Linked DNA regions of Caenorhabditis elegans. The protein of the gene in region 1 purifies or fractionates together with the protein of each later gene. This does not show direct contact. Each region holds a gene or a part of one and is shown on either strand. Other genes may lie near its edges. The genes, in order: nfx-1 and R07B7.6.

Region 1 (6,547 bases):
GACTGCCATTTTACGCATTCTGATCAAATATTGATGAATTCGGATGAGACGAGCTTTGCACTTGTGTCTAACATATTCACTCCAATGAAGAAGTTGATCACTGATTTGTTCCAATGCTTTGTTCATATCCTTTGACAACTTTGTCTTTTCCCATAAACGACGTGGATAGTGAGATCGTTCGACAACTTTTGCGTACAAGTAACATACTCCGTTCTCCTCACGAACTGTTGCATACTGTGAGTTAGCCAATGGACACGAAGCTCTGTTGCACAAACCAGTCAAATTCATTTCATTTTTACAGAACATTTTTGGCTTTGTCCACGCTTTGTAGGCGCATTGTCCCTTGTTGAGAATGTTCCAAGTCACATCGTCGCACTGCATTTTTACCCAGTTTCTGAAAAATTCGAATTTTTTGAGTTGTTTTTCACACGAGAATTACTTCGATAAAAGGAAAAAGAAGCAAGAATTGATTGAGAAGAACGGGCAAAAAAATTGTGAAAGAACCGAAAGTGTGCGTCTTCGCGTGGCGGTGTTTGCACACTTTGTCAGTCCCGCGTGCCTTAAGGCGCCTTCTCTCTATTTTCATCTTTCAATTAAAATTTAAAGTCTCAAACAAATATTTTCACAGGAAATAACTGGGCCACAGGAACGCAATTAAAATAATATAAACACCAGAGAATATTTATTCATTAGTTAAAACAAGCAAACCGTATTTTAAAGTATTCAAAACAATGGAAATGTACTTGAAACAAACTGTTACACCGTACAATTGAGGATATGAATAGTAACATCGAAAATTGATGTGATAGTGCATGTAAAAAATCTAATACGTTTTATTCTAGTAATTCAGCAACCGGCTCCTCTTTCGCTGGAGATTCAATAGCTGAACTGGTTTCTGTTGCTGGTGCATCTTCGTCACATTGATCTTCCCATGTGGGACCTTCATCCAGTTTTTTCGCCGCCTCAATCTCATCTTCGGTCATATCGCGTTCGACTTCAACAACATACTCTTTTTGTTGCACTTTTTGCCACCCTTCTTCCTCGTCTTTCCACCAATCTTTTGGAGGTGAAGATACTAAATTACTTGTTGTCGGAACGTTACTTTCTTCATCGTCCGAATCGACATCGCTCCCCAAAAGAGCAAATTGGTTTTGTTGTTTCAATGGGATTGGGGCAGTTATTTCCTGGAAAATAAAAATATTGAAATCTGAACAATGCCAGACAAAAATTATATATTTACCTTCATTGGACGAGCTTCTCTCCGAACTACCATTTTTTCCGTACATCTTAATGGTTTCATGAGACCTTCTGTTTCTTCTTTTTTACTCAAAGCTTGATCCATTATATCTTTTCTAATAACAGCAGGTCCTGGCGTCTTTAGAGCTCCTTTGTAGTTTACAAGATCACTAATGAGAACGAGAGGCTGATGAGATTTTCCTCGTACTGCTGTGAGAACGATACTTCTTTTTGGTGGACTGTCTACACTTTCTGAGGCGATATTGAAAAAGTTGGCGTATTCATGCACGAATCTTCTCTTCTCAATACTCATTGCTGGCAGGTGAGCTCGAAAAGTGTCGTGGTAGGCTTCACCCTGTAAAAAACTATATGTATGCCCACAATTTTAAACAAATGGTAGCTTACACTTAGAATTTGAATAACCAGATCAATGAGAATCTTTTCAACAGATTTGACGAAATCAATGTTGGTTCTAACCATCTCTTTCAGATAACAAGGGAAGGAAATAGTTGGAGCGAGTTTGTTCATTCCATATTCATCTGTATCAACTTCAAGAGCTTCAGCAACTTTTCGATTTCTTTCCAATTTCTTGCATTCGTCATCACATTTCATGCAGTTAAGTTGAGAAAAACTTGTTGAGCGCTTGAGAATTCCTTCTTTGACCACTTTCTCTTCACCATCCGATTCAGATTTTTCTTCTTCTTCCTTTTCGAGTTTTGATAGAATCATTTTATCAACTTCACAGCATGGTGCGTCCTTTTTAATTCGTCCACATTCACAAGAAATTCTCACACTTGCTTTGCATGGGCTTGGCTCACACGGAGAATCTTCGTGACATGGAAGTGCGCAAGGATGTTCGCAAAGCTCTCGGATGGTTTCACATTTTTTCGTGCATTTCTCCCCTTCTTTCTCACATTCTTCACCGTGACATGTTCTTTGGCACACATGAACTCCACATTTGAGGGGTTTTTTGCAAACCACGCCACATGAAACTGAGTCGATATGACACGGTATATTTTTGCGAACTCTATGTCCACCATAACACATTTTTTCGGTGAGCTGTGTGCATGGAGGACAGTTTTGTTCACCATGGCACTTATGAGAGACAGAATGATCACAACTGTGTGGACGGACACATGGTTGGGAGCACACTGGTAGACGAGCTCCACATGGAATCGGAGGCATTCGAACTGTGTGACCACAATGACAAAATTGCTCATCAAAACTGGCTTGCAGACACGGACGGCATTGTCCAGCGTGACATACATTCTCACATGTGTGAATTCCGCAAGAAAGTCGTTTGTTGCACATTTGCAGACAAAAATGTTCATCTTGAATACAGCAAACTTCTTGGCATTTGTGCATTCCACATGACTTCTTTTTTCGACATCTTTTTGTGCAGAGATATTCACCAGCTGAAAATATATTGGTCATAGATCAAATGAAGACATTTGAAACTCACTGGTTTTCATTATTTGCAAATATTCGTCACATGGAATGACGCCTTTAGACGTTCCACAGCGACAAATTACGGATGTATTGAGATTGCATGGAGGGCAAGGACCTTCGTGGCACTTTTCTCGACAATGATGATTCTTTCCAGGAGTTCCACAAGTTAGCCATTTGTCACAAACTGAATCACAAGTTGGAACCATGTCTGTACATTTTTTCCTAGTGACTCCAAGTGATTGAAGTGTGTTCCTTCCACATGGACACGTTCGAATTCTATTGGCTCCTGTTTCACATTCTCCACACTCCTTGTCGTGACATTTCTTCGTACAATGATGAATTCCGCACGAAAACATTCCATCACACTCTGAGCCACATGAATATTTCTCGTGTGCACACGGATTGCAGGAAACTTCTTTTGGCGTTTTGCCACAAAAACAATCTTGTTCTAGAATTACAGTACACTCTCCACAATCACCGGAATGACAAATTCTTTCGCAATTGTGTTGGCCACATGAGAGTTGCTTTCCGCAGACTGTTTCACACTGAAAACATTGAATAAAACTAAAGATACAACTAGATTTCAAAATCTCACCATGACTTCTTGGTCAGATCCGCATCTCACACTTTTTTTCGTCTTTCCACAATTGCATGATTTTGTTGTAAAAAGCTTGCATTCAATGCATGGACCAGGATGACACAGTTCAGTACACGGATGAGGACATCCGAACTTTCTTGCACCACCGCATGTCTCTCCGCAACTATGTGGAACTTCTCCAACTCGGAAATTAGGATTTCTCATACGCCCACAGAAACAATAATAATTGTAAGGCATGGTTTCGTTTTCTGTCTGGCAGGTTGGACACCTCCAAGTGTTTGCACCTTCTTTATCTCTGCTTGATCTCGCCCAATCAGTAATACATCCAGTTGAAATGTGGAAAATATGATAACAGGTTTTACAGGACCAAACTCCTTGTCTGGTTGTGATTCGAGTGTAACAAATCGCACATTCATACTTATTATTTTCCAGAAGATATACCAGACCCTCTCTGAGTGGCTTATCCGCTAAAATTTTAGTTTCTTCTTCTGTCAGCGGTTCTTCTTTTTGTTCCCGTCGACGAGCTCCTTGGCCTCTTCGGCTGTTCCCAGGATTTCGAGATGGGTTTTGCACTGACTTGTTTTGTTGATTTGCAATCCTATCCACATTCAGTTGATTTCTATTGTTCTGTCTTGATTGATTTTGTGGATGAGAATCGCCTCTTTGTTCTTGTATTTCGAGCTGACGACGCTGTGTGTTCTGCTGACCACCACGTCTTCTTCTATTTTGCGATGGCTCCTGTTGTCTGGAATTTTGATTCGAATGTGTCGAGGCACCAATCGTCGGTGGAGGCACAGATGGATCGAAGAGAACCGACTGTGCTGGGTTGAATGTCGCAGCATTGGGGTTGAAGGTGAAATTAGCTTCTGGCTGCATTTGTAAACGGCTTGCAGAGGTAGCTGAAATTTAAACAATTAGTTTAAAGCTCTTTAAAGTTATTTTTGCCTTTAATTACCTTCTTTTTGTCCTCTGCCACGTTTGTTTCCACTACCACCACGATGTCCTCCTCTCGGGTTCATCAAAGGCGCCGCATCTAGGTTATCTGCGGTATTGGCTCCTACTTGTCGAGGAGCTTGACGGAAACGACCTCCTCTTCCTCGACTTGCTCGGTGACGGGAAGAATTTGTGGATGTTGGAATACTAGATGATGTTCCTTCAGTATCGGCCATAATTACTTTAGTCTGTAATTGAAACAGATAAATTATTGGAAAAATACTTTTCTTTTATATATTTGTGAAATTTTTTTATTTGAAAACGCGAAACATTGAGAAAAGCGATGCAATGTTGTGCAATAGTTCAGATGACATGACCGACCACAAACTACACATTTGAAGGGACATTGATTTTGCCCGCGTTGTCTCACCACGCGCGTTACACACGCAAAACGAGTGTTACCGTATACAACTTTTAGGACATTTTTCTTCGCTTGCTACATTTCCATTGCAATTCATTTTAGCCAATCATAGGGCACTTTTCTTACCTTTGTTCTTTCATTAATTTTGTTAATTTCTTTAATCTTTACATTTTTACAATAAACTCGACATTTTATCATCTTCTTTCAGGTAATCCGCATCAACCATGGGTCGCATGCACAATCCAGGAAAGGGAATGGCCAAGTCGGCCATCCCATACCGCCGCTCCGTTCCATCATGGCAAAAGATGACCGCCGAGGAGGTCCAAGACCAAATCGTCAAGATGGCCAAGAAGGTTTGCAATTGATCTGAGGAGTTACTTGGTGCGATTCCGATAACTACCATATGATCATCAACTGGGCTACCATTTTTCCAAGTTTGAAAATGGGCCCAGGAAATGTGAAAACCGAGTTTTCGGTGTCCATTTCCTTTTGAAATTTACGACAGGCAGAGATTTTGTATTTTAGGGTCTTCGTCCATCCCAAATCGGAGTTATCCTCAGGGATTCCCACGGAGTTGGACAAGTCCGCCGTCTTGCCGGAAACAAGATCTTCCGCATCCTCAAGTCCAAGGTAATAATGCAATTTTTATATCAGTATACGCTCTTCAAAAGCACTGGTTATCGGACTCAGACTTGTCCATGCCAGCCGTCAAAATGAGCAATATGAAATATCCTGTTTTTGGGTGAGGTGTAACTGTATTTAGATTAGATCTCAATAACACGATGACAGTTTTCGTAGAAACTAGTAAAATTCAATCAACGTCTTTTTCTAGTTTAATTATTGTTTTTTCAGGGAATGGCTCCAGAGCTCCCAGAGGATTTGTACCATCTCGTCAAGAAGGCCGTCGCCATTCGCAAGCATCTTGAGAGATCCCGCAAGGACATTGACAGCAAGTACAGACTTATCCTCGTCGAGTCCCGTATCCACCGTTTGGCTAGATACTACAAGACCAAGCGTCAGCTTCCACCAACCTGGAAGTACGAGTCTGGAACCGCTGCTTCTCTTGTTTCATAAGCATTGTTCTGACAATAAATCGTTGTTGTTTCAAATAATTCTTTTTTGTTTTACCAGTAAATTCAAGTAAAGGGCTGTTCCCATAGATTGGAAGTCGTTCGGAAATTTGACGTTGTCTTTTGCTCACATTTAGCACTTGATCTTCGACTTTTGGATTGACTCTTCGAGCAAGCATTCTATATTCGAAATACTTCCATTGCTTTCACATTCCAAGAAGTTCAACGATCCAATGTCTTTAGATTTAATGCTAACAAAAAATAAAACGAATATTTAATAATCCATCAGGATACAATAGAAAACCTCGTAGACAACATAAACTGAGATACAATAATGAAAATCTGGGGATATGTGGTGAGAGCTCATCTAAATGTTCGATGCCCACGATCTCTTCCACTCTTTCCAGCATCACGTGCAGGCTCTGCTATTCTTGATGCCTTTGGAAGTTCTTCTTTTTTTTCTTTTCGATCATCTTTGCGATCTTTTCGAGAGGACGATGTTGATTTTGAAGGCTCCTCTAGATCAAACTCAATCGCTTTTCGAGAGCCTTTCTTGTCATCTTTCTTGGGAACTGGGTCGGGAAGCTGAAATAAATCACATTTTCGAAAGGAAAATTTTGAAAATAGCTTGAGAAAACGTTAATATCTTACCGCGGGTCCTGCCACTTCAAGCTTCTCATCGGACGGCTTGCTTTTTTGCTTCTGATCTTTGAGAATCTTTTGTTCTTTCTGGTTTTCTCCATTTTCTCGCTTCCTTTCCTTATCCTTTTCTCGTTCCTTATTATCCTTCTCCAACCGTTTCTCTTTTCCTGTTTCTTTGTCTTTCGATCGTTCTCTTCT
Region 2 (4,757 bases), on another chromosome or scaffold:
AATAAAATTTGATATGCTATTACTTTAACGTAAACGCTTCAAATAAAGCTTACTCCCTCTCAGCATTGCATACTGTAACATTCGAGTAAAAGTCAAGTGAATTTTTTTGATATTTGTATTATCTATAGTTATCAATGAAAAACGATTGAAAATCTAGTCAATCTATGGAGAACATTGTAAACTCGGCAAACATTTCGTGTATTGTGAAGAAATGTTTCGGAGGTTTTTCGTTTCTTTTGTATATATTCTTATATTCATTTTATTTTCATAAAATTTTCTACACTTGAAAAATGTGACATATCTCTATGGTTTCTCTTCGTGGAGTCTGCCGAGTCGATTTTTTTTTTGTTTTTCGTTGAATTTCCATAGCTCGCGTTTTCCCCGGCAAGTCTTCGTTTGTTCATCATAGAACTACATCACTTTTCCATGAGTCGTCTTGATCTAGTTCGTTTTGGTTATTTGAGAGCATAGAAACAACTGAAAACTAGTTAATTGTGTAGTTGCTCTCTCTCATACTCTTTTCATATCTCTCCCGTCGCCTAGCTACTAACTCTTTTGCTCATATGCTTCTATCATTGAGAACAACGGAAATGAAAAGGGTCTTTGTTGTGAAAAGGTAAGGTTGAGTGCATTGATAACGCCTAGTGTACACTTTTAGAAATATTTTCTATTTCTGCTGCGATGTAATGTTTGATATGCAATCAAATTTCTGAATTTAAATACTTCAGTATTGATGGAACTAGAGAGAATGTTTTCCGATATTTTTTTGCATTTCGAGAGGTGCACATAATTTGTTAGTTCATTATTAGAAACTTCTCGTGATTTTATTTATGTTGAAATGAATTCACGACACACCTTTTCATTCGCTTATCACTAAAAAATCAAAAGTTTCTTCCTCGTCACTATTGAAAATGCACTCTCCTTTTATTCTTTGCACGAATGTTTCCCGAAGTGTCTTCTTATGACTTTTCCCAAATTTTATGAAGAATTAAATTCCGATAACTAACATTTTGTTCTGACTCCGTTTCTCTTTTGTGTAGAATCTTGTTTTTAGCAGTTTTATTAGATTTAACTCATTCAGAATCAAGCATTACTTTTTAAAAAATCTTTTTTCAAAAGCTTACCTAAAGAGGTTTTAAACAGTAAGAGAAAATACAATAATTGTTGCTTTCCTAACCTTCAAAGCACTCAAATATGCATGAATAACTGACATATCCACTCTTTATTTCGTAACTTTAGAAATGACTATAGTCATCACAGAAATAAGGAAAATAAACATTTTACCGGTAGCGGGATAATTTAATATTTATTTAATTTTTTACATTAGTATCTGGTTTTTTATCACAAAATAATTTGTAAATTTGTTACATATTAAATTTAATCTTGAAAAAACACTTGAAATCGAGAAAATTCCATTTTGGCAAATCGCCATAACTACAAATCCAAATTAATTTAAACTAGAAATATTTACTTCAATTTCAAAAGATGTACCACTCACACGTCAATGATATCAATTTCCGGGAACTTGGATGTTTCAGTTGGTTTTTTCTCTTTTATTAACATTTGATGGATTTCAGTTTTGCTTTTACATCTATGTACATGTTTCTGTTTCGTTTTGTGTTTCTAAGCTTTTCGCGGCTGAGTTCGTTTTTTTATTACCGTCTTGCAGGACGGTGACCGTTAGATATTGAAGAGAGAAGCTGAGTACAATAGTATTTCGGAACAAAAGTTTGTTGCAAATAATAATAGTTTAATATGAGTTTCAACTATTCCAAGCGGTTGTGAAACATAATAAGTTTAAGCTGTTGACGTATTTTTGTTGCGAGGGACTAATTATTTGTTTCCAATCTAACTGTCAACGTCAAGGGGATGAAAAAAACAATTTTTTAAAATTAATATCCTAAAAATGTTTGGAAAGGGGAAAAACAAGAGCTTGAAGACTTAAAAATATATTCTATCATTTTTTCCCCGAGTTTTTATTCACAATCATGTCTCTTGATAACACTCCAGTTTTACTGTCATATCCTTCTCAAACAATTTTGAAACTTTCAGAAATGTCAGCCACAAGATACAAGAGATTAACTGACATTGATCTAGATGCGGATATTAATACCGTAAGCTAAACAGTTTTTATTTCAACTTTGGAGTGAAAAGTTTAATTATAGATTCCTGAATCTCGTTCTATTCAATCAACATTAATTGGTTTTATTCTGTTGTTTGGATTCGTAGCATGTATGATATTTCTCACAAGTGTTCAAGCTCATCCGGTATAAATTTTTAAACAAGGAATTCATGTTTTAAACCATATTAAATTAAGGCAAGAGTATCACTACAAGATAATGGAAAAAACAGTCCAATTCTAAGAACTCGGTCTCAAGAAAAACCGAGAAAGAGGAATATTACCAAATGGATGGACAATTATTTTACGGCGTGAGTGTTTATGTTTTTGAAATTTTAGAGAAGTCATGAATCATTACTTTCGAGACATTTTCAATTTCCAAATATTTTTCAGCGATGAAAGTCAATTTCTAAATTGCTCAGAAATGATAAAAAACAACAAAGACGTAATTGAGCTGTATGTGAATAATGGACGAATGAAACTTGACAACGAACGATTATTTGAATTACCAATGGATTGTCCTTCAATAAAAAATCGAATATATGGAGACATGCCATCATTTCGACCTCTCAAACGACCCATCGCTTTTGTACGAACTATTTATAAGATTTACGAACTTCAAGAGGCTTTACTATCTATATCATACCATCCAGACAATGTCTTCTGTTTTGTAATGGATTCAAAGAGTACTGATCGATTAAAAGAATCTGTTAGAATAATGAGTAGTTGTTTTACAAACGTTGTAGTACTTGGAAAAGAGTATAGTTTGAACAGTGGAGGTCATGGGCAAGATCCAGCACATTTTGATTGTCTCAAAACTATATTAGACAGAAAATGGGATCATGCTATTATTCTTCAGGTAAATTAATAATTAATATTTTTACTAAAACATCTTCCATTTTTAGAATTTCGACTTGATAATCAAAACGCCTTATCAACTATCAGATATTAGTGAATCCCTCAATTACACAAGTATCATGGGTTTTGATCATGGATTCTCCTACAGATACAATACAAAAGCAAAGTGGACTCCGGCTGGGATGAAGCTTTTTAAAATTGGTAAAGTGTTTCAATATTTCAAAACTGACATTTATATAATGTTTAAAAATATTCAAAACTTTAACAAAGCTCAATATTAAAATAAATTAAAGAGAAGATTTTCGTGAAAGAAGATGTTTTTCTGGAGAAACAATTTCAGTTTAAAAAAACACAAAGTTAGATTGTTTCAGAAACTGGAGTGCCAAATGAAATTCTTAATAGAAACCTAATTGTTCGGAAAAGCTTAAACGAAGTCATTGTCTCAAAAGTCTTTGTGAAATCAATGTTCGAAAAATTGAATATGGATATAATCATCAAACTATTTGATGATAACGATTACTATGGAGTTGACGAGATGCTTGTTCAAACACTTTATGAAAACTATCTTGGTTTGGAAGGACAAATGGAATCAAATTGTACTAGAAATCACAATGATATTCTGACAAGGTAACCGGTTTTTTTTTCTTTTGTGGAGTAACAGTTTCATTTCAGAATGACGCATTGGGATTTTAGTGGTCCTAATGGATTTGACAAGGAATGTCATTCGAAATGGAAACGGCATGGAATTTGCATTATGGGTGTTGAATACATGAATGAACTAATTAAAAGTCAACAAGTCATAGGTATATCTGAACATTTATGAAAAAATGTGCAAGTTTATCTTTTCCAGCAAACAAAGTTATGGCAACTTTCGATTTCGGAACTATTGCTTGCATGCGTGAGATGATAAAAAGAAATACTGCAGGGGAAACGCCAAATACCCAATGGTTAACTTCTTTTCCGCAGGTAAATCTTTGCTGGAAAAATGGAACAGGAAATAGGTGTTTCTTTCAGTTTCGAGAAATGCAACAAAAGGCAAACGGGACATACGACAGGAATAAGTTTGATTGTTAAAGTTGGATGATTTATGCGGGTTTCCAATGTTACGGGAAATTACTTCGTGTAATTTTTATTTAATTGTGTTCTAATTTATGTCATTTACAAGTATTATTTCTTTACATAAAATTGTTTGAAAGTCAATTTTTGTTTTGGAAGCTTGTTGATAAAAATATGGCTATATATCATACATATTTCCTTTGCTCTATAGTAGGCTGTCAAAAAAGTATTTTTCCTTTTTTGTTTTGTCATTGTGGGCTGCTCTGAAAGCAACTAAATTGGATTTAAATGTACTAAAAGCCAGTGTTGAATCGGATCCATTTAAAACTACCTGTGAGCTTGCAAGCACGTTTGGGATGCATCATAGCTCCATAGCAAATGGCTTTAAACTTCTTGGTATGAGGAAACTCCTTGGTCTTTTCGTACTTCATGATCTGACCCGTGTCACCCTTCACCGCTGGACCGGCACTGGAGATGAAACGTGGGTGCTCCACGATAATCACCACAGGCATGCCCAGTGGGTTGGAAAATGAGAAATTGCAAGTTATAATTCCCTAAATAATAATTAAAAGATGGCCGACTAGAAAATAGGATATCTATATAGATTTGCCGAGTAGGAACGTATGATTTCTGGTGAAGAGAAAATGGGGGGAATTGTGAACAATAGAATATCCAATGATTCAAACAATCGAATTTCACTACAATAATGAATCCTAGGTCCCTA

What was found.
Region 2: the proteins of nfx-1 (region 1) and R07B7.6 fractionate together in Caenorhabditis elegans (co-fractionation; one large-scale study listed by BioGRID). This does not show direct contact.

The regions. Positions count from the first base shown.
Region 1 is NC_003281.10:6,373,296-6,379,842, reverse strand, and holds nfx-1 (Transcriptional repressor NF-X1 homolog), read right to left. Parts: upstream 4,465-6,547; 5' UTR 4,453-4,464; coding exon 4,239-4,452; intron 4,183-4,238; coding exon 3,281-4,182; intron 3,231-3,280; coding exon 2,699-3,230; intron 2,652-2,698; coding exon 1,642-2,651; intron 1,592-1,641; coding exon 1,241-1,591; intron 1,185-1,240; coding exon 834-1,184; 3' UTR 676-833; downstream 1-675. Other genes in the region: C16A3.6 (Protein MAK16 homolog), read right to left, coding at 1-381; rps-13 (Small ribosomal subunit protein uS15), read left to right, coding at 4,862-4,990, 5,163-5,267, 5,490-5,711; thoc-2 (THO complex subunit 2), read right to left, coding at 6,071-6,292, 6,359-6,547. UniProt on the Caenorhabditis elegans protein: May play a role in transcription regulation.
Region 2 is NC_003283.11:12,072,282-12,077,038, reverse strand, and holds R07B7.6 (Nucleotid_trans domain-containing protein), read left to right. Parts: upstream 1-2,052; 5' UTR 2,053-2,054; coding exon 2,055-2,114; intron 2,115-2,165; coding exon 2,166-2,267; intron 2,268-2,317; coding exon 2,318-2,430; intron 2,431-2,512; coding exon 2,513-2,978; intron 2,979-3,024; coding exon 3,025-3,178; intron 3,179-3,348; coding exon 3,349-3,604; intron 3,605-3,649; coding exon 3,650-3,780; intron 3,781-3,827; coding exon 3,828-3,943; intron 3,944-3,991; coding exon 3,992-4,051; 3' UTR 4,052-4,177; downstream 4,178-4,757.